Drosophila melanogaster: one gene and its partners. Changing the gene in region 1 together with any one later gene gives a genetic interaction. Each region holds a gene or a part of one and is shown in the gene's direction. Other genes may lie near its edges. The genes, in order: Lrrk, Dp, Atg7 and neur.

Region 1 (4,992 bases):
ATTTGATCTTCAAGTTCGGATTTTGGATCTGGTGCCTCGGATCTTGAGGATCACCAGCTCCTCCTAATTAGACTTTTCAATGGCCTCTTTCAGGCTACGGAGGCTAGTTGTCCCGCATTTCGCTGGTTACCTTATCAACAGATTGTTGTTTTCAAAGTTTTCCATTTAAATCAGCACGCCAATCTCTCTGCGAATAAATAAGAAGGTGGCGCCGGGTTACTTGAAAGAAAACATATGGCGATATATGTACCGATAATTGTTTTGGTGTCGAATTACGGAAATTACTAAAAATCAACCGCCCACCCGTTGATAAGAAGGCGACCCCTTCCCTTGGCTTTGCCCTCGAGATGATCAGAGATCTGGATAACATCCATTGATGCACTGTAAAACTGAGTTGGTTCTAACCGCCCTTTACCACATGGGATAAAATAGAAAAGCAGCCTCTAAAATCGTCGGTTCTTGTTAATTAAAACAAAAACGCTGACTTTTATTTAGTATGAATCACACAGTCATAAGTTGTTGGCTGGGGGTGGGAGGGGTCAACTTGAAAACAAAAACAAGAATTCAGGGTCAGCCAAGGCGACCTATGAATGCCCTTACGTGTTTTTTTTTGCAATTTTAGGCAGTTGAATGACTGAAGTAAGCAGGATTTATAACGAATTCGATATGGCCGTTGAAAGAAAAGTTTCCATAATGAAAATCTAAGCCATTAAGGCATATTTCAGAGCCAAATGTTCAAATTCCGTGACCGAACGGGTGGAGTTGATACCGCGGAAAGGGTATAAAAAAGTTACGCGGCACCGATGTCTCATCTCTAAGTCGCGATGCCACAAAAATGGAAATTGCAGACAGTCAGAAAAGTCTTGAAAAGCACACGGATTGGCAAGTTTTCATCGAAGTTTCACTTGCATTGTGGCGCAGCTCGTTTGTTTTTGTTTTTTGCTTCCATTTTGGCCAGCCCTCGCCTTTATAGCGATTTTTTTTTGGGTGTGAGCTGCGCAGTTTACGCTGCTCCTTACTTGATTCTCTGCACCGGCACCTTCAGTTGGCCTCTGTCGGCCATTCCGCGGTATTGTTATTTTTCAAACGCACCGTGCAATCGGCTCAAATTTGTGTTCGATTAAGGAATATTAAATTGTTTTTATTTGTATTGTTGAGATCGTGCTGTTAAGCGTCTGTTAACGAACACAGGGTGACTCCTGTTGAACACAGGGCGTTCTAGGCTGGCGCTGGTTAATATCGATAGTGTTTCATTCGATTGTTATATCGATATAGGTTACAGTTGGCATCAGTATTTATAAAATATACACAAATACACGGTGCTAATAAATTCTTGTTCGTAAACAGTCATAACAGGAAATTGCATGTTAAAAAAAAAATAAATAAAAATAATTAACAGTTCCTAAGAATCAAATTCTTTTAGATAAAATCATAGCATACAAAATAAAATTCAACAAAAAGTAACAGTCGATAGTGATTCACTGCTTAACTGATTTAAATAATATCGATATTACTGTTGTTGAGTTGACAAGCAGTGCAAAGTAACAGAAACGATGACCACCTTATCGCGTTTTGGTATTTATATATGTATGCTATCAGAAATGAGATATTTCAGCATCAGTTGGGATTTCAAATATTTCACTTGGGAACAAATTTTTAGATGTGTATGAATAAAAATAATAAATGCGTCTTCCAAATACTTGTTCGGCCTTGTTAAATTAATTTTAATTTATAAATTTAAGCCAATGGACATAAAAATCAATGATTTTGGGTAGATTATGATTTAGTTATTAAGCTGGCTTTAATCTTTGGAGAAAAGTACGAAGCCCCCTGCGTGCGACACTGATTAACAGCATTCACTTGCGATATTTCGGTCACACAGAGCGCTTAACAGCATATCGTGCCAAAATGAGGAGATATATTCTAAAACAGTAAGAGGTTACACTGTTTGTTGACAAAAAGGTAAACAAAGTGAAAATTTCGCAAAATGTGCAAAATAATTAAGTAAGGGTCAGTAAAAGGTGCTACTGGTTAATCGGACCATAACAACTACCCATTTAACACATACCATGCATGACTTGGATATCTCGTGAAGTACACAAACCAAAACAATGAGCGACTCCGACGAAGGTGAGATAACACAACTTTTAGTGAAATTATGCACAATATGCTAGTTTTGCGCAAATTTAGTCAGAGTGCAAATGAGCATTATACGCTTGACTATGCAAATTACCTAAGTGGTGCAATTAAAACTTCAACCAGTTGTTATTGGTTTTTCAACAACACCAGCAAGGGCACAGGGTGACATTGGTGCAATGGAAGTGGGCGCGCAAAAACTTTTTTCAAACAGCCACCCCCCACAGAAGCAACTGGTGCAACCACTGGACCATCCGACACCCACGAAGAGACAAATCAAAACAAATGCCACGCACTCACCCAATGCCACATTCTTGAACAAGTGCAACAGTTGCCGCGCTTCTTGGGCTCCGACTTGCGCAGTGCGACATAAAACGGCCTGGATCAATGACCACAAAAACGTGGCCATCGATTTTCCGCAGTTCAGTTTTTGCTAGCGGCGCGTTCGGTCATCATACCGATGCCAATTAATTTTTGGGGCTTATTCGCACCGATTTGGGTTACATAATGTCATGGAAATTCAGCATGGAACATCCCAAAACTGGAACTGAAACAGCTCTGGAAGCCTGTGACTACTTCGTGGATGAGGTCATTGAGGCATCCTCAATACGGGGTGGGAATTGGTTTATTCCAAAGGTGCTGTGTATTAGTTAACCAAGCAAAACTTATCTTTCACAGATGCCCGCGAGGAAGTGCGTCAGATCAAGCACGGGGAGCTGCGAACGGCAGTGATCTCTGGCGATGAGCGGACTGTGCGGGTGCTGCTGGCAGCTCTTGGAACTGAGCGTCAGATTATAGTCAATATGGCTCCTTCAGGAGCAAACACCCTTCTATTCCTGTGAGAAAAAGTCTTTTAGAATTAGTCCATTTTGAGCCAAACTAATATCGGTCTCGTTTTAGAGCCTGCCAGTCTGGTTACGAGAGCATTACACAGCGATTGCTGGATGCTGGAGCGGATGGTCGCTCCCATGCCGTGACCAAGTACTCACCCTTGTACGCCGCCGTCCATAGCGGTCACTTGGGCATTGCCCGACTGATGCTAGACCATTTTCCAGAACTGATCCAGCAGCCGACTGTAGAGCGCTGGCTGCCGCTGCACGCCGCCTGCATCAATGGACACATCAAGCTGCTGGAACTCCTTATCAGCTACAGTTATCCCGACTACCTCTACCAGACATATCGCGACGAGGAGGGCCAGTGGGAATGGCGGCTCCCCTTCGACGCTAACGCTCATGATGTGACGGGTCAGACGAGTCTGTATATTGCCAGCATCCTAGGAAACAAGCAGCTGGTTGGTGTGCTTCTAAAGTGGCAGCTCCATTGCCGGCGTACGTTGGGCGATTCCGCCAGCTCGGTGAGCACTCCTATTACGCCCACCAGGAAACGTATTTCATTTGGCATTCAGGCTATCATGTCCAAACTGCACATATCTGGAGAGTCAGAAGGACCCGACGACCTAGCTTCACAAGAGTCAACCGAGTGCCAACGGTGTCCCATTAACGTGAATCTGCTATGTGGAGCGGCGAGAGAAACAGCTCTGCTTGCGGCCGTTCGAGGCGGCCACCTAGACGTGGTGCAGTCTCTGCTACAGCACGGCGCAAATCCGAATATTGTAGCCAAGCCAGTTGAGGATCACAACGACCCGAAATGTTGCGAGGAAATATATGGGCTCAGTAATGTCCCCATTGCAGAGGCCTGCAAGCAAAGGTCGCTGGCTATGTTGGATCTCTTGCTTAAGCATGGAGCCCGCGACGATAATGGCACGGCCATTGGAATGGCTATTACATGCGGCGACGAGGCCATCCTGAGTCGTCTTTTGGCCCGACGAGTCCATCCGGACTCAGACTACAAGATCAACAAGAAGGGTCTTCCCACACCAGTGGAGGTGAACGTGTTTTTGCCGTCCACCAGCAACATATCTTACAGTGCTATGTTCCCCAACAATCCAACCATTATTGACTGGCACAGCATGGGCTCCAGTGTCCAGTTGTCTGTTGTAAGGGTTCCCTGGATGGTCAGCGGTGTGTTGCTGCTGAATCCTAAGCTACAGTCGCATCCGCGACTTAATGAGGTTGCTCTGACAGCTATCACGCGAATAGATTTCTCGCACAACGTTCTCACGTCAATTCCACAGGAGCTTTTCCATTTGGTTAGCCTAAGGTTAGTAAAGACAAAGTAATAAGTTTTTCAAGAATTATATTAGTCCTTCATTTAAGGTATTTAAATGTGGCGCAAAACAAGATAACCGATCTACCTGCACCAATAGGCCAGACATATGGGTGTCCGGTACTGGATGAACTCTTTCTACAAGACAACCAGTTAACTACGCTGCCAGCCGCCATCTTTCACCTGCCCGCCCTATCTATATTGGATGTTTCAAATAACAAACTGCAACAGCTTCCCTTCGACCTGTGGCGTGCACCCAAGTTGCGCGAACTTAATGTGGCCTTCAACCTATTGCGGGATCTTCCTGTGCCGCCAATGCAAACTAGCAGTTCGCTGCTGAGCCTAGACAAATTGAATCTGCAATCTTTTGAGGAGCCGCCATCAAACAAACCGCGAAATGTGACTCAGCAACGTCTCACCCATCGCAATCTATGGTCGGCTACTTTGGACATAACCGATAATGACATGAAGTGGCAGCATGAACAAGATTTAGGCGATGGAAAGACAGCTGGTGTGGGCTCCTCCCAGCTAAGTAGCTTAAATATAGCAAATAACCTCTTCACCAGTATCCCCGCTGCTTTGCCCTGTCTGGCTGTAAACCTAACACGGCTGAATATGTCATACAACAGTCTGCGTTCTATGGGACATGTAACCAGTTACCCGGCAACACTTAAGCAGTTGGATCTAAGT
Region 2 (7,425 bases), on another chromosome or scaffold:
TTGATGATCTGTTCGATGAAGACAACTGGGCCAAGATGAAAACCGATGGGAAACAGTAGAGGCCACCACGCAATAAATGGATTGAAAGATTTGTATTCGCGACTCGTTCTTCTGTCTGTAATTTTACTTGCACAATCAGCGATCATTGGTGTATAAAAAATTGCTTCAACTATTGTTTAATCGCTTATTATATTCATTTGGTTCGTATAACTAAGGTAAATTGCCATGTGAGATAGTGCCGAGGTGGATATGAACTTTGGCTTAGCGTAAATCAACAAAATGCATAATTTTGTACAAAAAAACGAAACTATTAACTAAATTTATCGAACTGAGTTTCAGGTGGAATGAAGCAATCATAATTGAGATAAATACAAATGTACACAATAACCTAATGGATCCGTGGAAGTTGTTAACCAAGTTGTAGGCCCTCTGCAAAGCTATCCGTCCAACGGCGTGCCCAGATAGACCATCGAGACCTCGGTATTGCCGTAGACAGCGGATACTGTGGGATAGAGCTTTTTGTCCGGCAGGCCTGCAAGGTGAAAGTGCATAGAATCGTTCGTATCGCTGGTATCACCAAACTATTTCCCCTTACCCCGGAAGGCCACACCGAGGAACTCGTAGTTCTTCTCGAACGACAAGGTGTTGTCCTCGCAGTCGAGAATGACGCGTATCCGCTCGCCCACTTGGTACTTGGGAGCATTGTTCAGCAGCGGGTAACTGCCCTGCATGTCGCCGTTGTGCAGCAGGTGGTTCTCGACCAGATTCCAGCCCCAGCTCTGGTCGTCGGAGCCGAGCAGAGCCACATAGCCGTGACACTGTAGAGCCGCCTCCTTGGTAGATATGCCGATGACGGCCACAGTGCCCAGCGGTCCCTCCCATATCACCTCCCAGGTGTGACGACCGTGGCGGAATCCTATCTTGCCCCGGGCCGCGTCTGTGCTCTGCGCCACGGGATTGCTGCGGGAATGGAGGGACATACATATAACGCCGACTCAAGCAAACCGAATACCTTACCGATGCAGGGTGAATCCGTTCGGCTTAATGTACACATTCCTCGAACAGTCGTTGGGGCTCCAGGCGTGAAAATAGGCCCGCAGCTTCGTCTTGTACGTGGAGACGGAGGCCAGCAGGTCCGATTTGAGGGACTCCTTGGGCAGCTTGTTCAGGCAGTGCCAGCGCCAGACGTCGCTGTTCTCGTCGTTGAGGAAGTGGTACCAACTTTTGCACACCTGCGAGCAATGACTGAGGTCGTCCAGCTCCAGGTAGGAGAAGATTACCTCCAGCACATTGTAATTGCACAGCGCCGCCACCGGATCGACCATTGTGTGCGTGTGCGCTCCGCTGCTGGGCTCGTGTAGATAGCTGCTTGGATTTACCCGTTCCTGTTGATTGTCATTTTCCCACACCAACCAAATGGGTAAAAATAAAACTCGAAAACTTTAATATTCTGCGATTCAGGGTGACCGTTGGCGGGCTGCCAGCGAAATACCGCTCACCTGGACAAAGTGGCAACTTTGTTTACATCCGCGACCAGTGTGCGATAGCGACTGTCGCACACAGCTGCTTACAACACTGCGTAAATTGATGCGTAAATTGGCGCGCACTGTCTGCCATTTCATTCGCACCCGCACACAGCCTGCTTTGCCTTTCCCACATGAAAACGAAAAGCAGCCACTTGGTGGAAATTTTGTGACCATTTTGTTGCGCTTAGAAATTGCGGAAATTCGCGCTGCTGCCAGCCGTTCGATAGCTAAAAGTTCGCCGTATCTTTTGCCACTAATCTCGTGAAAATCCGTGCGCCGAAACACCGCGAAAAAGGCCACCGAAAAAGGGCCGCCGCTGTGAGTGTGTGTGAGCAGCAGAAAAGAAAAAAAAAATGCCCTGCCGCTGGAAGTGAAAAATGCGCTCGCCATTTTGACTTGGGCGACACTTATTTTTTGTACAAGTGCGCTCCCCATTGCAGTCGTCGTCGTCGTGGTCGTGGTCCGCATCCGGATTTGCACACGTGCCCCAGTCCGTGGGTGCAGTACGTCCGCCTATCCACCGCCGTCGCCCATTCCAGCTCCATTTGCCCCCCCCTAGCACACACGTTGCGGCGAAACGGCACGTAGCACTGCTCTTTCCTTTTGTTTTTGGCGGTCCACCTGGTGAGCGGTAAGCGACAACAACAAGATCACTTGATCTCCGGCGGCCGAAAAATGGCGCATTCGACGGGCGGTACGGTGAAGACCGATGAGGTGAACTTCTTCTTCCGGAACGAGCACGGTAAGTGGGCGGAAGCGGTGTCCTGTAATAGGAGTTTTGCTCACGATGGAGTGAGTGCACTCCCTCCCTCCGCTATAGTCCATCATACACACACACCCCCTCATACACAAGGCGACCCACACAGATACGCTACAAAGTTGCATGGGCAGCGTAAAACGCCATCTTTGCTTTTTCGGGTTTCTTTTGCCTACCGTATTCATCGTTTGATACGCTTTGCGGGGGGAGGCCAGCGAGACGAACCGAAAAGAGTGCTAGAAATTGGCAAAAAGTAATAATAAAAGACAGAGACCCCCGCGAAATAACAACTTATATCAGTAAGCCACCCAGACCCGCCCCCTTCTGCCATCTACGCCCATCGCCCAGTTGGCGCGCTTGCTCACACACACACATGCACGCACACTAGCACGCGCGCGTTTTCTCCTACTTATTTTTTTGTTTTTTCATTGGGCGGCGAACAGCTGATTACTTCGCCGCCACTGCGAATTCGCTTTGAGGATTTAGCATGAAGTGAAGTAGTGATAAATCGTTGATTTCAGCTACGTACAAAGGTATTATTGTGAGGGACATTGTAAATTCAACTTGAAACAAATGTATCTGAACAGCGTGACATTCTGCCATATCTTAGCGAGTGGGAGAGAGACGGGGCGCACCGCCAAGAGAGATCGGGGTGAGAGAAAAAAGGCCACAGCAAGAACAACACTGCCACACACACACACACGTAGTCAGCCACGAAGCTGAAGCCCAAAACAGGCGAGAGCAAATAGGTGTAAGCGCTGTACACGTGTGTAGTTGTCCGTCGCCGCGTTTATGCGGTATTTACCGTACCCCGCAGTACTGAACTGATTAACTTCATGAGTTTCATTCAGTCATGATAGCAAAGAAGAAGATATGGATAGCTTTATGACGTGCTTTTATTTGTATAAAATGTCTCTTTAATCCCCAATATGTAAAGAAATAGTAATTTTTAATCAGTGATATTGCTCTTTGTTGAATATGAAGCGCGCATAAACGCTTTATATAGACCAGTATATCAGCCTGTTCGTACCAGCGAGTTACCTGGTTTGTAGTTATCTGCTGGTTGACTGGTGCAGACGAACTATGGAACTGCTTCTCCAATTGTAGGGATTATGGTTTCACCTGCATTTTGGGACTCTGCCTAGGCATTGTAGGATAACTCCCGCCGAGTTTAAGACTCCCATCGTTACCATCTGGTGGGACAGTCCGGCATTTTCTCGCATGTGTCCGCTGCTCAAGCCCCCGTGAGTCTGACTCACTTGCAGGTGTGTGTGCGTGTGATGTGCCCGTGGGTGCGGGAGAGTTGGCAGGTATTTTTAGCGCTCGACCCTTTGCGGTTTTTGTTTTGGGCATCTTCATCTCCATTATGCGTTGTCCACCTGCTTTGTTGTTATGATTATGCAAATATTGGGCTGGCGACAGGTGAACAATTATTACATCGAATGAATACCATCTAAAACTGGAAATGTTTAGAAAAGCCGGTTGGATACGAAACCCAGGGGTGCCAACCGAGTAGTCTTAATGGGTTTCCGGTTAATTCTGCCTTGATATTATAGTTGCTTTGGAATGGAAGTGCTCATAGTGTTGGATATACCAAATTAGCAGTAAATAAAATTTACTAAAGAACGCAACTAAGAACAGTGATTTGAAATGTCACGCTTTTAAAAATACTAACCGGTATCATATTTGCTCTTACTTTTTCTTCTGCTTAGGCTTCTGCTTGATTTATTGTCTTTCCAGTTAAAAGTCGAATTGTGAGTTTTAATGGGAAACCTATAATCGCACTATATTTAATTCAAATTATATTCGAACTTGGATTAATCCGACTAATGACTGATCAACAATCTTGTCGAGTCACGAACTTTAGTATCGAACCATCTCTAATTGGTTAAGGGTCACGTGGTTGCCATCACTAATGTCCAGGCGATCTGGTTTCGGGTTGTTTATGCTTCTGCATTTGTATCCTTGTCACACCGATTGAAACACACGCACACTCACCACCAGCACGTGAGTGTGGGTATACCTTGTGTGTATGTGTGTATGCACCCCAATCTTAATGTGCCGCTCGCCTTTCGTTGTTGTATTCCGACTCCAGTGCGCTTAACTCGCTCCATTCCATTCTCTTCACTTCGCTGCGATGAATTCACCGTATATACGGCGAAAAAACGCATCGTTGATAGTACCACACATACATTCAGTTACTCGCTAACACTCTGACACCCATGTGTGTGTCTGTGGAGTACATGCAGTTTTGTTATCAACGACGGCATTTCAGTCGCGTGTTATGTGTATATCGGAAACTAAGGAACCTCCGCATCTTCCAATTTCCAATTCTGCAGGACAAATATCCAAAATGCTGAAGCCGGCCCAGAACAAGTCCGAAATGGAGGGAGGTAAGCCCGTGGCGGTGGTCTACGCCACCGGCTCATCCGCGCGCAACAGCGGAAGTGCTAGCGGCATCGGCAACGTGGGACGCATGGGCGCCTTTAGTCAGATGGTAAGTGTAGAACGCGGTTGCTCACGTTGCTTACACTTAGTACCTAACGATCCGATTTAAACGCAGGGCAGTCAAGGGCAGTTTATACGACTGCAGGACAACGGACTGTCCATTCCAAAAACAGAAGGTAAGCGTGTGATCCTCCTCTTACCACTTCAATTAATCATTGTATCCCTTATTGTAGCAGGTACCACCTACACCACCGTTTCGGCGCAAAAGACTTCGGGTGCTGGCAGTGGTCATTACGACTTGCCCTTGAAGGGAGATCGCTATGTGAAGTTTACACCAAATCCCATAAAAATGAAATCAAAACTGTAAGTAGTAACCAACCGAGCAGGATCGAGGAGGATACTATAGCTTTGTTCCTTCCCAAACAGCCATGCCATTCAGAGCAACTCGTTGCACTCCATGTCGGCCTCCTCATCGTCCGTTCAAAGGAAACGCAAGCCGGACAAGGCAGGCAAAGGTTTGCGCCATTTCTCGATGAAGGTATGCGAAAAGGTGGAGGAGAAGGGCAAGACCACCTACAATGAGGTGGCCGACGACCTGGTCAGCGAGGAGATGAAGAACAATGCGTACGACAACAACTGTGATCAAAAGAATATCCGACGTCGTGTCTACGATGCGCTCAACGTACTGATGGCAATCAATGTTATTTCCAAGGACAAGAAGGAGATTCGCTGGATAGGACTGCCCGCAAATTCGACAGAGGTGGGACTTGTGTTCACCAAAGGCACCAAACTCCATGCTAATGTGATTATTTTGTCCCCTTTTCATAGACATTTCTGGCCCTGGAAGAGGAAAACTGTCAGCGCCGCGAGCGAATAAAACAGAAAAACGAAATGTTGCGCGAAATGATCATGCAGCATGTGGCGTTCAAGGGATTGGTCGAGCGGAACAAGCGAAACGAGAGCCAAGGCGTGGTGCCTTCCCCGAATGCCTCGATCCAGCTACCGTTCATCATCGTGAACACGCACAAGTCCACGAAAATCAACTGCAGTGTGACCAACGACAAGTGAGCGCTCACACTCAGTCGGAGTATGGCTTGTATTCTATTTCCCATATATCGTTTCAGGTCCGAATACATATTCAAGTTCGACAAAACCTTCGAAATGCACGATGACATTGAGGTGCTCAAGCGTATGGGATTCCTATTGGGTGAGTGTGTTTAATATTGGGCATTCGGGATAAGAAATTCATTGCATATGCTATTACCTGCAGGACTGGATAAGGGCGAATGCACGCCGGAGAACATTGAACGAGTCAAGTCGTGGGTGCCTCCAAACCTTGCCAAATACGTAGAAGGTATGACCATATATTGTCTTCCAATTCACTGTTATTAAACTTTATATTTGGCCCAGCCTACGGCACCGGCAAGACTGGCGAAAATATGTACGAATCGGATGACGAGGACAATGAGTTCAACGGGTACCTGGAGTCGGCCAATGAGTCCCAGGGCTTTGCACAACACTCGGCACAACACACCACCGATGGCGAGTTCAAGCTGGAGATGGATGATGACGAGCTGGACGACGACATTGATTGAGCTGATGGTGCCGCCGTCATTGTGCCAGCCATGGCCGATGCGGACACGGATGCGGATGGAGGAGCAGATGCTGATGCGGAGGACACGTTTAGTTTTACGTTTATCAACGCTTTGTTAGGTTTGCCACGGCCCCCTGGTTAGTCAGGAGCCGCACTCCACTCCAATCCACTCCACACCCAATCCGACCCACCCACACAATTGGTTTTGTTTACTTCTCAATGAGACTCTTAAATTATATATATACAATCTCGCAGCGACGAGAAAGATTCGGTAGTTCATGTATGTAAGTGTAGTTTGCATACACAGTTTGTAATTGTATCATTGAAGATTTATGTTTAAGCTGAAACGTTTTTAAAATAATTTGTCTAGTTAAGGAGAACGCGTTTTTAGTTCAAACCACAATTCACATAAGGCAATACCGCGAAACCACATGCCCAGACTAATGTTCACTCTCTAATTAGTTGTTATCAGTCTCCCTTTTCCCCCCAATGGCCTTTTCATGTTTGGGTAGGCTTAAGCAAAAGCGATAATGTTATGGGTAATTGTCTCTTAATAATATAATATACCAAAACTGTACACAACCGCAGTGAAATGCAATTATTTTTAGAATGCCACGAGCAGTTTGAACTGCAGACAAGAGCGAACATATGAAATATGTTTAATTTGCTAACACCCTTTGACAAAGCGATTCTTTTAGATTCTCAAAACCCAAATTTTAAGTTGACAAGGGAGTGCAGATAGTTGCGAAATAATCAACCTACCTAATTAGTAATAACAATTAAAACACGATATACATTTTCAGAATTTGTATTTATATTATTGAACCCTCTTCAAGTGAATACAACAGCATGCAAATACAAATTAGTAGTCAAGTATAAGGCGTTAACAATTAAGTGTCGAGCATGTAGTTGTGTAATGAAACGAAATAATTGCATGGATGGAAAGGAAATTGCAAACAAGTGAGACGAAATCGAACCGAGTGACAAGTTAATAAAGAAGTAATTTGCATATTGTAAAATATGATAAACAGAGAATTTAATCTTTTCCTCCCTTCTGCTTGCACCCAACCCAAGCAATAAGTCCAATAATCCATGACATC
Region 3 (6,636 bases), on another chromosome or scaffold:
CATCCATTCCTGGAAGTTTCTCTGCATATTTTGCAGATATTCATCTTCCAGCGCTTTGAGATGTTCCGGACGCAGCAGAGTACCTATCTGTCGGTGTACATCCACATTAAGATCCGGATGGGACATCAGCTCGACGCCAGGATAGGTGTGTGTAACCCAAGCCATCATTGATACATATTCATTGCCCTCCAAGCCCGAGCGCACAATGTTGTCAAGCTGGAATTAGTAAATATTAGTGGTATAAAAACATTAATCAATTTAAATGATTGACGATTACTCACATAGCTAGAAAGTCCTTCGTGATAGAACTTGACATATTCGCCGAAAATGTCGTAGTGCGGCGGGAAGCAGGGCACACAAAGGGACTTCACAACGCGCAGATCCTCGAGAATGATTTGACGCAATATCTCCAGGTCTCGTACTAACCACATCTTGTTATCGGCCCGCTCCTCTAGCTTGGATCCCTCTATGCGCGTTATCACCGACTGTTGTAGCACGTCCATGATCATGCGGCGCCAAGCCTTTGGTCTTCCAGGCGGCAGGAATCCTGTGACCTTTTGCTGCTGCAACGCGAACTGGTCGTTTTTCTCTTCCCGCTCTATGATGCGTAGGGCGGTAACGATGATGGTGGGCTTCTTGCGCAGAGTGTTCAGCGTGCGGCTAAGAATGAGTCGCAGCTTTTTCTCCAGCTCTTGGGATACCGTGTCAACCTTCTCGAAGTGACGCTTTAGGGTGATCTTGTCGGACGCATGCTGCTTGGGCTGCTTGTGCAGTTCGTAGAGAAGATCATCCCGCGAATTCTCCAGATCCGCCAGGCACTGATGGGCATTAAGCAGCTTATCATCCTCGATCAGCGCCATCGTCTTTTGTACGCTGGCATCTACGTTGAAGATGTGCTTCAGATTCTCCATGGCGGTGGCGTACTGGGAGTGCTTTGTGTTTTCCTCCCGCACAACTTCCAAAGCGTCGTAGACTTCGGGAACGCCCCTCAGCAGGCGCTCCACCTCGTCCATTCGACGCCTTACCTCGCGCACGTCCTGCATGCAGGTCTCCAACTGCTTAAGTCCCACCCTGACCCCGTCCAGCTGTCCTTGCATTCCGGTCTTAAGGAGCGCCTCAACGGATGCCTTCTTCCGGGCGATTCGGTGGCGATATTGTTCCACCTTCTCCAGTTGACCTGGTCGCTGCAACATGTTCTGTATGTCCTTGAGCGCTGCCTGGCGAGCCTGCTCCTCCAGCTGCTGTAAATCCATCTTCAATTTATTTGGATCACTTTCAGTCTCTGTTTTGGTCAATCTTCGTCAGCAGTGGAAGTGCTGGTGTGACCATATAGCAGTGCGGCTGACAATCTCACTTCCAAGAACTACAGTGTAACTTGACAATAAGCTATATTCTACTCTTAAAATTATTATAGTTTTATTGTGTCTTAAAATTTTTATTTTATTCTTCAAGCTTAAAAAATTATGAAGTTAAAGTATATCTTTTAGTTTGCCAAAGCAACAGAGGATTCGACCTAAGTATGGAAAACTGTACTTATCGATAAGTTATCTTCTCATTGGTCTATCGCCATCGAGAGCTTTGTTTGTTTATAATTTGCAGCCAAACGTTTGAACGTAAACAACGCCCTAAGCAAAACATGAGCACGGAAAAAGAGATAATTTTGCAATTTGCTCCGTGGGAATCTTTTGTGTCGCCCACTTTCTGGCACAAGCTAGCGGAGCTTAAGCTCGACCACGATCGCCTGTCCGACTCGAAACGCTCCATTACTGGACACTACACAAATCGTAATGCAAGTGGATGCCTTTTGGAAGTAGACTACACGGCCTACAACAGGTGAGCTTGAAAACTACGAGTTTGATGAAACCAGCGCTTGACCACCCACATTCCAGAATGGCAAAGCCTCCAAAATTCAGCCATTCCGCTATAGGCACCATCTACAATAAGAACACAATCGAAGAGTTCAAGGCCCTGGACAAATTACAACTGCTGGCCGATGAGGGCAAGGAACTGCTGGCTGATATGTGCAGTGGTGGCGCCTTGAGAGATCCCAGTCTATTGACCCGGTTCTTTGTTCTCTCCTTTGCCGATTTAAAGTGTCACAGCTACTACTATTGGTTCGCCTTTCCGTGCCCGCTGACGCCCACCTTAAAGCTTCAGGGAGCCGTCCAAAAACTGCGGGACTTGCCCAATAGTAGTAGCTATATAATGGCTCTAAAGGCCTTACCCACTGAGTCACAGAACTTCTTCATTCTGTATGCTAATGTGGAGAAGAACATTTTCGAAGCCCGTAGTTTAAGTTCCCTTGACGATAAAAATGTTGAGTTCTGTTATTTTGGTTTTGCTGATCCCAGCGAGTATGAGCATCCAGCTTGGATAATGCGAAACTATGCTGCCTTTCTGCTTCAGCAATGGTAGGTAGGAATAGCAATGTTATGATATCAGTTCACACAGTTGTCGGTCTATTACAGTCCCTCTTTTGTTGGAAAACCATTGAAGTTTCTTGGCCTGCGACACAATCAACAAATGAACATCGATGACAGCCTTGTATGGAAGGTGATTCAGACTGAAGCTTGCGATCTTAGCCAAAGCGAAAATATAAAGTTCGTGGGCTGGGAGCTAAATAAAAATGGCAAAATGGGGCCAAGAATGGTGTGCATGAGGGACAGCATGGATCCAGCCAAGTAAGTTAATAGCTATAGACTTAAATGATAAGAACTATCAGTTCATTGAGGTGTGTCCTTAGTGTTAGCTACCACGACAGTTGAAAGTAACTTGTTTATTATTTATAATTTAACAATATTTCTTTCCGTAGACTCGCTGAGAACTCTGTAAACCTGAACCTGAAACTAATGAAGTGGCGCCTTGTTCCCGATCTCAATCTCGAAATCATCTCCCAAACAAAATGCCTGCTCTTTGGAGCTGGTACTTTAGGATGCGCTGTAGCTAGAAATCTGCTGGTGTGCTTTTATACGAAATGATTTAACTGATCTGATAACTAATAGTTTATTTATTTTGTAGTCCTGGGGATTTAAGCACATAACCCTTTTGGACAGCGGCAAGGTTGGGTTCTCTAATCCAGTGCGTCAGAATCTCTACACGCATGCAGATGCTGTGGCAGGCAATCGGATGAAGGCGACTACAGCTGCTCAGAGATTGAAAGAGATCAATCCGTCTGCGGAAACGGCGGGTTATGTGCTGGAGATTCCCATGCCTGGGCATACTATTGGAGAATCGCTTCTAGCCCAGACGAAGGAGCATTTGAAGGTTATCGAAAAGCTTGTGCAGGACCATGATGTCATCTTTCTGCTCACAGATTCGCGCGAAAGCCGCTGGCTGCCCACCCTGCTTGGAGCGGCAAAGGAAAAAGTGGGAACAATCATATACTCACCTTTCAGAAGAGATGTACCTAAAATGTTTCCCTTATAGATTGTCATCAACGCAGCTTTAGGCTTTGACAGTTATCTGGTAATGCGACATGGCACTACGCGTAAGGAAGCAGGCGACGATGGCCAAGAAATCGAAGGACTTAAGTGCATTAATGGCGATCAATTAGGTTGCTACTTTTGTAACGATGTTACGGCCCCTGGAAATGTAAGTCCCATTTGTTGTATAGTTTAAGATAACATTTGTATTTTCAGACTTCATTAGTTGGGTTAACATGGTTACTAAACGCATTCGTAATCATGGCGGGAATATTTTTCGAAGCCAGCGCACGTAGGATCCCCCGTCTGCAGGTGATCCACACCAGTTATCTGCACTACCAGGCCATTTATGCTGGTCACCTTGAAACCCACTAGATTCATCATGGCATTAGGTGTGCGCCAGGTGTAGCTGAAGAAGTTATAACCGTCCACTGCAGTCAAAACCTCGCGTTCCGTAAACGCAAGCGCCAGCTTGAATTGCTGGTTAAAGACGAAGGGGAAACCTCCATGACGCTCCTCGCTTCCGAATCTATAAAAAGAATTAGTTAACGCCCAAAGAGGTACGGCATTATAAAGTTAACTTACTCAAAATTTTTGTTCATGGAATTGCGCACTACTGCCTTCTCATCGAAACGCACACTGAAGTGTAGCTCTTCGCGCTTGGTATCCGAGTCCATGAACTTGATTATGAACTGTCCCTTTTTATTCTCGAAACACCGAGCTGTAAGGACAATCACATGGCCCGGACTAAACAAAATTGGCTGATCGTTACTGAACGCCTTAAAGTAGTCCGAGGCGTGAACGGCTGGCCACGGATTTGGAAACACAGTACGATGATCCACCTGTTTAATGACTTGGATCTGATCACGGATCTCCAGAGCACGAATCGTTCCCAACGGCATGCGGTAGCGGAATCTGCAGAACTCTCGGCTATTTATCGAGATGGCAAAGCTGTCCTCGCAACAAAGAATGTAGACCAAAAAGAACTCGCCACTGACGATGGGATTGGGCAGGGTGTTGGGGTCCATGACATGGGACTCCTCCTCGCCCCAGGCGCCGTTTATCCGGGAATTTCGAACGATCACATCGTTCCGAAAATAGCATGAGAAGCGTAGCCCAATATCTGCGTTCGGATCGACCGTGCTCTTGGCCGTGCAGAGGTTAATGTGGAACCTATCCGAACCAAATGATCACAATCGATTAGTCACGTACTGATAAGAAGCCCAATTTGACAAGTAATTAGTCAGAAAACGGAAAAGCGGTCTTACATTAATGCCGGACAACACTTACCTGGCTGCTCCATCGATGGTCTTGGCCACGACCTCCAGAACATGACCAAACTCCAGCGGATGCGATAGATTGCCAGCGAATTCGGTCAACATGATTCCTTCCTGCAATTACCAATTCAACTAACTATCGCCTTTGTACTGAACAATCAAGCGCAAAATGTGTTTTATAGTTCCGTGGGAGAGTCCGGAGTTCTCCGGCTCTCCCAAATGTTAAAACTTTATCTAATCAGTGATGGGCGGAGCGGCGGGTTGCTCAAGTAACCGATACAAACGCCGAAGTTTTCTATATCTTGTGTTTTTGGTTTTTAAGCGCTGCTATTTGTTTTGTTCTCGCCCGAAGGCGTCATCTTTGTTTGCTCGGAGCATGTGTTTGTGGACACAGAAAAGCTTTCAAAAGCTCTTGATCGTACTACTGCACCGGCGTCGAATGTGCTCCAAATCACACTGAAAAAAACTCTGTATAAAAAAATCTCTTATAGACTCGCTTTATAAAGTTGTACGTACAAATTTGGATACAGATACTCATTGCATTTCGTTCTATTCCATTTTCAGTCGCTCAAAGACCGAACTTTGGATCAACAGTGCACAGTGACACGACCCGGAGTATCCAACATTGCGGCCAGCTATGCGGTGGAATTGTTGGTGGCTTTGCTGCAGCATCCTCGTAAGGAGCTGGCACCCGCCTACTATGCACAGAGTGGGCGTGGCAGGTCGGAGGAGACGGAAGAAAAGGTGCCGGAGGGTCTGCTAGGAATTTTGCCTCACTCCATCCGTGGAATGCTGTGCAACTACGAGAATATTCTGCCCGCCACTCAAAAGTTTGCTCAGTGCATAGCCTGTTCAGCGGTAAGATTTGACAATCTTTTAAAATGGTTTTGATAGCGTTTTCAATATTGTTAAAATTTTTTTTTTAATATATTCGCTTACAGGCCGTCCTAAATGAATATAAAAAAGAGGGTCATGCTTTCCTGTTTAAAACTTTTGAAACAGCCAAGTTTCTGGAGGATTTGACGGGAATCTCCGAATTCAAGCGGTTAAACAGCGAGGTTTGTTTGTTTCCTGTGTTTAATCTAATGGAGATATTTAAAAATTATTCATATTTTTGCACAGATTATCGATTTTGATGATGAAGAATTTGACATGTCCGATAGCGACGAGGATTAGGTTCCACAAAATTGGTCAAGTTTTATCTTCAAAGCAAAATATCTTAAATATGAAATTCAGCTTATTGTGGCTTTAATTTTCTGCAGCATTTATAGTTCAATGTCTATACCAAAAATGTGTGTACTTCAATGCTTTTATTCTATCTAGTCGTTAAGCAAATTGTGAATCATTCAAATGAAATTGATGTGAAAATTAGGCATAAGAAAAATGTGAATTTACTATTGAAAATTGTAATAATAAAAGTGTGAATTTACTATTGAAAATTGTTATAATAAAAGTGCTTAAGTACGGGAACAAATGTATTTCCGCCAATTTACAAGTCGCAGCCTTTAAGCTTTGTTTGTTTGTACGAAACGTGTTTCTGCTGATAAGAGCACTCATTTATAGGCGAAAATATTATTCTGATCTGAGAATTCCCATTTTTGTGGTTGACAAATACCAAAATATTGTTTTCAATTCCCGATCGGTCATTGAATATGTTATTAGCTGCATTATTCAAGGCGAAAACACGCAAACAAAGATGAATGTTCGTATAAAATTGTTTTGGGAATATGCAAATGATTTACATAGTGGGCCAGGTATGCGAAAAGAATAGTTCAAAGTTGAATAAACCTGGTTAGAAAGCCACGAACTAATCGCATATGTAAATTTGCTTATTATGTCTCGGTCAAAGTAGATGACATCCTAGAAATACGCTCACAAATGTTATACTTTAAAGAGATATGTAAAGTTAAAACTATATTTTTAGTCCAGGAATATAA
Region 4 (4,909 bases), about 12 Mb from region 1:
GCAAACCCTTTTCGGATCCTTTTTCCAACTGCAACCGCAGATGGACACCTTTCGTTGGTGATCATGATGGGTACAGTGGATATCGATAAGCGAAAAACTATGATACGCAATTATAATACATAAGTATTCATACATTTAAAAGAAAAAAAAGAAATGGTATCCTAAAAATAAGGTTGGTTTAGGGCTTGAAATAATATTGCAAGGATATTTACTCTGCATTTTTAATATTTCTACTTAACCTAAAGTCGATAAAAAATATTTCTATCCAATGATCACTGTATTCTTTGACAATTTTTGGGGTTGTTCGTTGGTCTCGATGTCTGCCGGTTCCTGTTTCGCCAACATCACCTTCTCCGACCTTTTTTGCATTTTTGCAAACTGAGCGAACAGGAGGGGGAAATCGGGTAAGCAGCAGCAGATGTATTTCCAGGACGCACGCCTGCTGCCAGGATGCTGAATATGCATTTCCACTTTAATATCAAAATTTAAATGCTTTCTGCCCCGTCTTGATCCCTTCCGATCTTGAAAATTGCATCTGCTGTGAGGTCTGCCCGGTTCCGTCTGTCGATGCAGGACAAAAAGGACGAGGATGAGGATAAGGAGCGCTCGGCGCAATTATCATCCTCCATCAATGGCAGCGTGGCATCCATAAAGGATAAAGGATGATCAGACGCCAGACGGCAGTTATCCTGCTGACCACAATGCTAAAGCTTAGCAAATGAGACCACAATAGCATGTGTCCCAGATCATAGGTACATTTTTTTAAATTCTGTGTAAGCTAATGGTTTCAAAACTGGGAATTGAGTTACAAACTTTCCATTTCATTTTATAATCTTTATAGTGCAAACTTAAAAAATCAAAACAAAAACAAATCTCGTTTCATATTCTCTATTAAAATAAATTGCACATACAAAATGGACAATTAAATGTGCCGAAAACAATTGGGAAAAGAAGAAATTTATTATTATTATCAAGAAACGTTTGGGAATTTTTTTTAATTCCCATGGAATTACTCCATACATACTCCAACTGAGTACATACATACACACATATGTATGTACGTGTGATATTTGGCCCACAAAGTTCACGATCAAAAGCATTAGGGCAATTGAAATAGTTTTCTAGTTATATGAGCCAGACCTTGTAAACCCTGCGAAAAAGAAAAAGAATTGCTTTGAACCTGGCTGAACTACACACACACTAAGGTGAGGAGAATAACTGTTAGTGAAGATCAGAGCACTATGGCCAAAATCCCAAATGCAGGCCTAGAGCAACAACAACAAGAAGCAGGAAGAGCAACAGCAGGAGAAGATGTGGAGGAATCCCTGATCAAGGTGCAGAGTTAGAGGCATAAAGGTAAATTATAAGGGAGGCTCTATACACGCGAATAGCAGGCACAAAGCGAAACCATAGTAAATAAGAAACAGCTGCCAGAGAGAGAAAGAGAGCGATGGCGTCTCATAATTTTCTCTCTTGAGCTCTCTTTTTCGCTCCATCCACGCTCAGGGCTGACAGCCCTTAGCCAGAAAATGGATAAATTTTAAATTATTTGAATAGATTGCTTACAAATTATAAGTTTAAATAAATTGAAGCATTTTTAATGTAATTTAGTTACCGTTTCTTGATTTTAATTAAATTGTAAAACAGGAAATGTTATTCAAATCTACAGCCCAAATTGTCACTAAACGTTAATAGTAATTATAAAAAACTTAAATTTCCAAATATGTCTTACTGGCATACCTAAACTTCTAAATATCTTGAAAACATATACTAAAAAAAGCCAAATCTGACGGGAGAATTTCTGCGCGCCAGTACTATCCGTTACTCTCCAGCTGAGCTGCGTCAGCGACGTCGCGCTGGTGCGAAGCTATAAAAGGCTGCACCACCGTTTATTTGTTGAAAAAAAACTCAGCGAAAGGTTGTCTCGAAGTTGTCGTCGTCGGTCTTTGTGTTTCGTATCGTTTCGTTTCGTTTGTTCCCGTTGCGCGCAGACAAACAACCAACCAAATTCAAAATGTTTTAACGGAAAACATTCAAATTCGAAGAAGAACTCTATCGCTTAATTTAATGCCAAATAAAATACGCAAGCAGCTTGTGCATTTTCATTAGCATTACGCGTGTTCGTTTAGTTCGTCTGTTTTAATTTAAATAACGAAATAAGAAATAATCCACTACCATGGGTCTATCGGATATACCAGCCAACTATATGCAGGGCAGCCATCCGCACCTAACTCTCCATCCGCAGCAGCAGCACCACCAGAATCAGCAGCACTTGCAGCATCTGCAACAGATGCAGCAGCTGCACAACGCCATGCCCACTCCCGCCCAGCAGGCCGCCCAGGTCCTGGCCATGGAGTCCAACGAGCTGCTCATGAGCACCAAGGACAAGCTCTCTAGCAAGAAGAAAATGCACTTGCTCAAGAAGATCAAGAAGCGCTTTGGATTGGGTTAGTAGTCGCATTAGTACCAGGCTAAGAATCGGGCTAAGGATATCGATGGATATATTAACAAGAATATTCAGTTAATTTCCAAGTCGTTTTTCAAAGGACGTACAATTCTCGGAATATCCAGGAATAATTTTTAAAATCAGTGTGATTGGGTTCTAAAGTAGATGTAGTACATTTTAACAATATAAAACTTCCTTCGTGATATCTGACCATTAAAGTCTTGAAGCAAATGTAATTACCGCGTGCGAAAATGCCTTAAATACATTATTCATCGATCTGGGAATCGTATTTTTATCTCCAGCGATATTCCCACATAATATTAGCATGTGGTCTGACCTATCGCTCTTTCATTCATTCGGTTAATTAAAGCGGCAAGATAAATAAGCGAGAAACACAGCCAGCCGCAATCATTTATGCATACATTAGCATTTTACGTCTCAAGAACAATAACAAATAACGAAAGATAAGAGCAAAAACCGAAAAAGTTTGAGTTAGTTTAAAACAAAAAGCTAATGAATAAATGCTCACCCAGAACACGCCCAGTTTGCGATTATAATAGTAATTGTTTTTTTCCGACTAGATAGACACAAAAGAAGCGCGAAAAAATCTTAAATGTGAAATTCTCTCAAGGCTTTTTCGGCAGAATTTAACATCGACACTCCGACTTTTTCGCCGGAAATGTCAGTTCTCGAAAACTGAATTTTTCAATCGCACCCAAGTAACCGCAAATTGATCGAGAAGACCAGATCGGAGGGATCTTGAGTTGAAGAAAATACCACCAAAAGCAATTTTCCCAAGGAGCGATTATGTTTATCATAACGATTATCTGGGCTGGGGAATTTGTTGCGCTGTTTTTGTTTTGGTTGCAAGCAGCTGAGCTAAGGAAAGACAAAAAAAAAGAAGTAAAAACAACAAATCACCTTTTTTTTTTGACTTTGGCTCAATTGCATTCTCGGCTTCAATGCTCTCTTTTTTGGCCAAAGCAGGCGAAGCAAAAGCAAAGCAAAGCCAGTGACGCATAGGCTAAGCTTCTACCCCTTTTTTTTTTATTTTTACTGGCCTCCTACGAACAATTGTGGTCGCACAACTAGCAGTCGAATATCAACGAACGACGCAATATGAATAATAAAAAAAAGTTATTAATTTAGTCCTTCAGCACTGGAATAGTTTTATTTGTCAAAAGTGGCTATGCAAAATATTGTACTGTATTTAAGAGATTCCATTTTTCCCGCCACCACTGTTTTTGCATCTGCCTCATTCAGTATTGCTTGTTGTTGTTGCTGTTGCCTTTCGGGGAATTGTACGCGAAGCGCCGTTGCCGCCATCGGCAAAAGCAAAAACAAAGGTAGCAACAACAGAAAAGCAAACGATCCACGGCAGGAGAAGAAGAGAAGAGCCATGGACTAGCGGGATGAGAAGAGGAAGAGGCGTGGCTTTGAAGCTTGAGTGTGTTTGGAGTTTTTATTTTTCTGCTGAGCGCTTAAGCCCGCAATGGTTTATGTTTTATGCGGCGGCTCCAGTCCGTTTGTTTTGAACGTGCGTTGCCTATCGGTAATCAATGAAATTGCTTTGTTGTTGTTTTGCTCGGCGTCAGCTGCTTTTGCTTTTTTGTACCTGCATTTTCTATTACATTTCGTACCTTGTTTGTTGTTGTTATTATTATTGTGTGTTGGCATGCCACGTTTGCTTTGGCTAAAAAGTTTATCTGCTCTTGGCTTTTACTTAGCTTCTCACGGTTTACTTTTCGAAATGGTTTGCTTGGCCGTGCGTGTGCTTGCAACTGAGCACTGCCAACTCGTCTTTGAGACCCCGATTATGGGACACACAAATACAAATTGTCGCCCGACCTTCGATTGTTGGCCAAAAGTAAATAGTCAATTGTTAATGACGGTACGCACCCCCCAAGGAAGTTTGTACATATAAGTACATATCTAAGTACAATGTTGGTCACCATAAATATACATACATTAACTTCTGAGACCTAAAATGTTATTCTATTAAGTTCAAAATATGTAAGTCGCCGCTTAAAAACAAATTTCTGTAAACATAATGTTTAAGAGACATTTTGCTAATATTGCTTCAATATTAACATATTATTGTTGATTTCCCAGTAAGCCATTTTCTGTTGAGCACAGTTGTATGCTGAGCATTTTCGCTACATACATCTGTTGCTATATTTTTCCACTTTCATGCATCCCCTTCGTTATTTTTTCACTTATTTTTCTCCCCCTCATGAGGTCATCATCTCGATGTGTCATTCTGAAGTTTGCGTATAGTTATTGTAGTATAGTATAGTTCATATAGCTGATATGAAGCACTGCTTAATTTCGCGCTTTGATAACGGACACTGCGAAATGTTATCTCTACAAGTGTAAACGTTTTGCAACTGATTAACTATAAATACCAGTTGTTAACTATTGGGGATATACACAAAGATGCTTGTGCTAACTTTGCTAGCTTTT

Evidence for each region.
Region 2: of Lrrk (region 1) and Dp, changing one suppresses a phenotype caused by changing the other (phenotypic suppression), as found in Drosophila melanogaster (one study listed by BioGRID).
Region 3: of Lrrk (region 1) and Atg7, changing one enhances a phenotype caused by changing the other (phenotypic enhancement), as found in Drosophila melanogaster (one study listed by BioGRID).
Region 4: of Lrrk (region 1) and neur, changing one suppresses a phenotype caused by changing the other (phenotypic suppression), as found in Drosophila melanogaster (one study listed by BioGRID).

Annotation. Positions count from the first base shown.
Region 1 is NT_033777.3:20,633,527-20,638,518, forward strand, and holds the start of Lrrk (Leucine-rich repeat kinase), read left to right. Parts: upstream 1-1,953; 5' UTR 1,954-2,111; coding exon 2,112-2,130; intron 2,131-2,289; coding exon 2,290-2,562; intron 2,563-2,572; exon of another isoform or gene 2,573-2,661; coding exon of another isoform or gene 2,662-2,749; intron 2,750-2,814; coding exon 2,815-2,974; intron 2,975-3,036; coding exon 3,037-4,296; intron 4,297-4,352; coding exon 4,353-4,992.
Region 2 is NT_033778.4:13,220,845-13,228,269, forward strand, and holds Dp (DP transcription factor), read left to right. Parts: upstream 1-1,588; 5' UTR 1,589-2,201; coding exon 2,202-2,268; intron 2,269-2,746; exon of another isoform or gene 2,747-2,816; intron 2,817-3,330; exon of another isoform or gene 3,331-3,618; intron 3,619-4,477; exon of another isoform or gene 4,478-4,567; coding exon of another isoform or gene 4,568-4,622; coding exon 4,623-4,780; intron 4,781-4,846; coding exon 4,847-4,907; intron 4,908-4,964; coding exon 4,965-5,094; intron 5,095-5,157; coding exon 5,158-5,491; intron 5,492-5,559; coding exon 5,560-5,795; intron 5,796-5,855; coding exon 5,856-5,938; intron 5,939-6,001; coding exon 6,002-6,085; intron 6,086-6,141; coding exon 6,142-6,326; 3' UTR 6,327-6,901; downstream 6,902-7,425. Other genes in the region: CG17059 (uncharacterized protein), read left to right, coding at 1-59; Fsn (F-box synaptic protein), read right to left, coding at 438-532, 596-960, 1,018-1,325. UniProt on the Drosophila melanogaster protein: Component of the DREAM complex, a multiprotein complex that can both act as a transcription activator or repressor depending on the context. In follicle cells, the complex plays a central role in the site-specific DNA replication at the chorion loci.
Region 3 is NT_033778.4:18,619,960-18,626,595, reverse strand, and holds Atg7 (Autophagy-related 7), read left to right. Parts: upstream 1-1,551; 5' UTR 1,552-1,636; coding exon 1,637-1,833; intron 1,834-1,889; coding exon 1,890-2,411; intron 2,412-2,468; coding exon 2,469-2,681; intron 2,682-2,812; coding exon 2,813-2,957; intron 2,958-3,018; coding exon 3,019-3,366; intron 3,367-3,426; coding exon 3,427-3,591; intron 3,592-3,609; exon of another isoform or gene 3,610-3,665; coding exon of another isoform or gene 3,666-3,951; intron 3,952-4,007; coding exon of another isoform or gene 4,008-4,595; intron 4,596-4,712; coding exon of another isoform or gene 4,713-4,804; exon of another isoform or gene 4,805-5,055; intron 5,056-5,263; coding exon 5,264-5,557; intron 5,558-5,640; coding exon 5,641-5,757; intron 5,758-5,821; coding exon 5,822-5,875; 3' UTR 5,876-6,130; downstream 6,131-6,636. Other genes in the region: Sec6 (secretory 6), read right to left, coding at 1-216, 282-1,253; CG5335 (uncharacterized protein), read right to left, coding at 3,666-3,951, 4,008-4,595, 4,713-4,804.
Region 4 is NT_033777.3:9,030,717-9,035,625, reverse strand, and holds the start of neur (neuralized), read left to right. Parts: upstream 1-1,894; 5' UTR 1,895-2,176; coding exon 2,177-2,447; intron 2,448-4,909. UniProt on the Drosophila melanogaster protein: Involved in neurogenesis. Interacts with other neurogenic proteins in the specification of the neuroblast versus epidermoblast cell fate.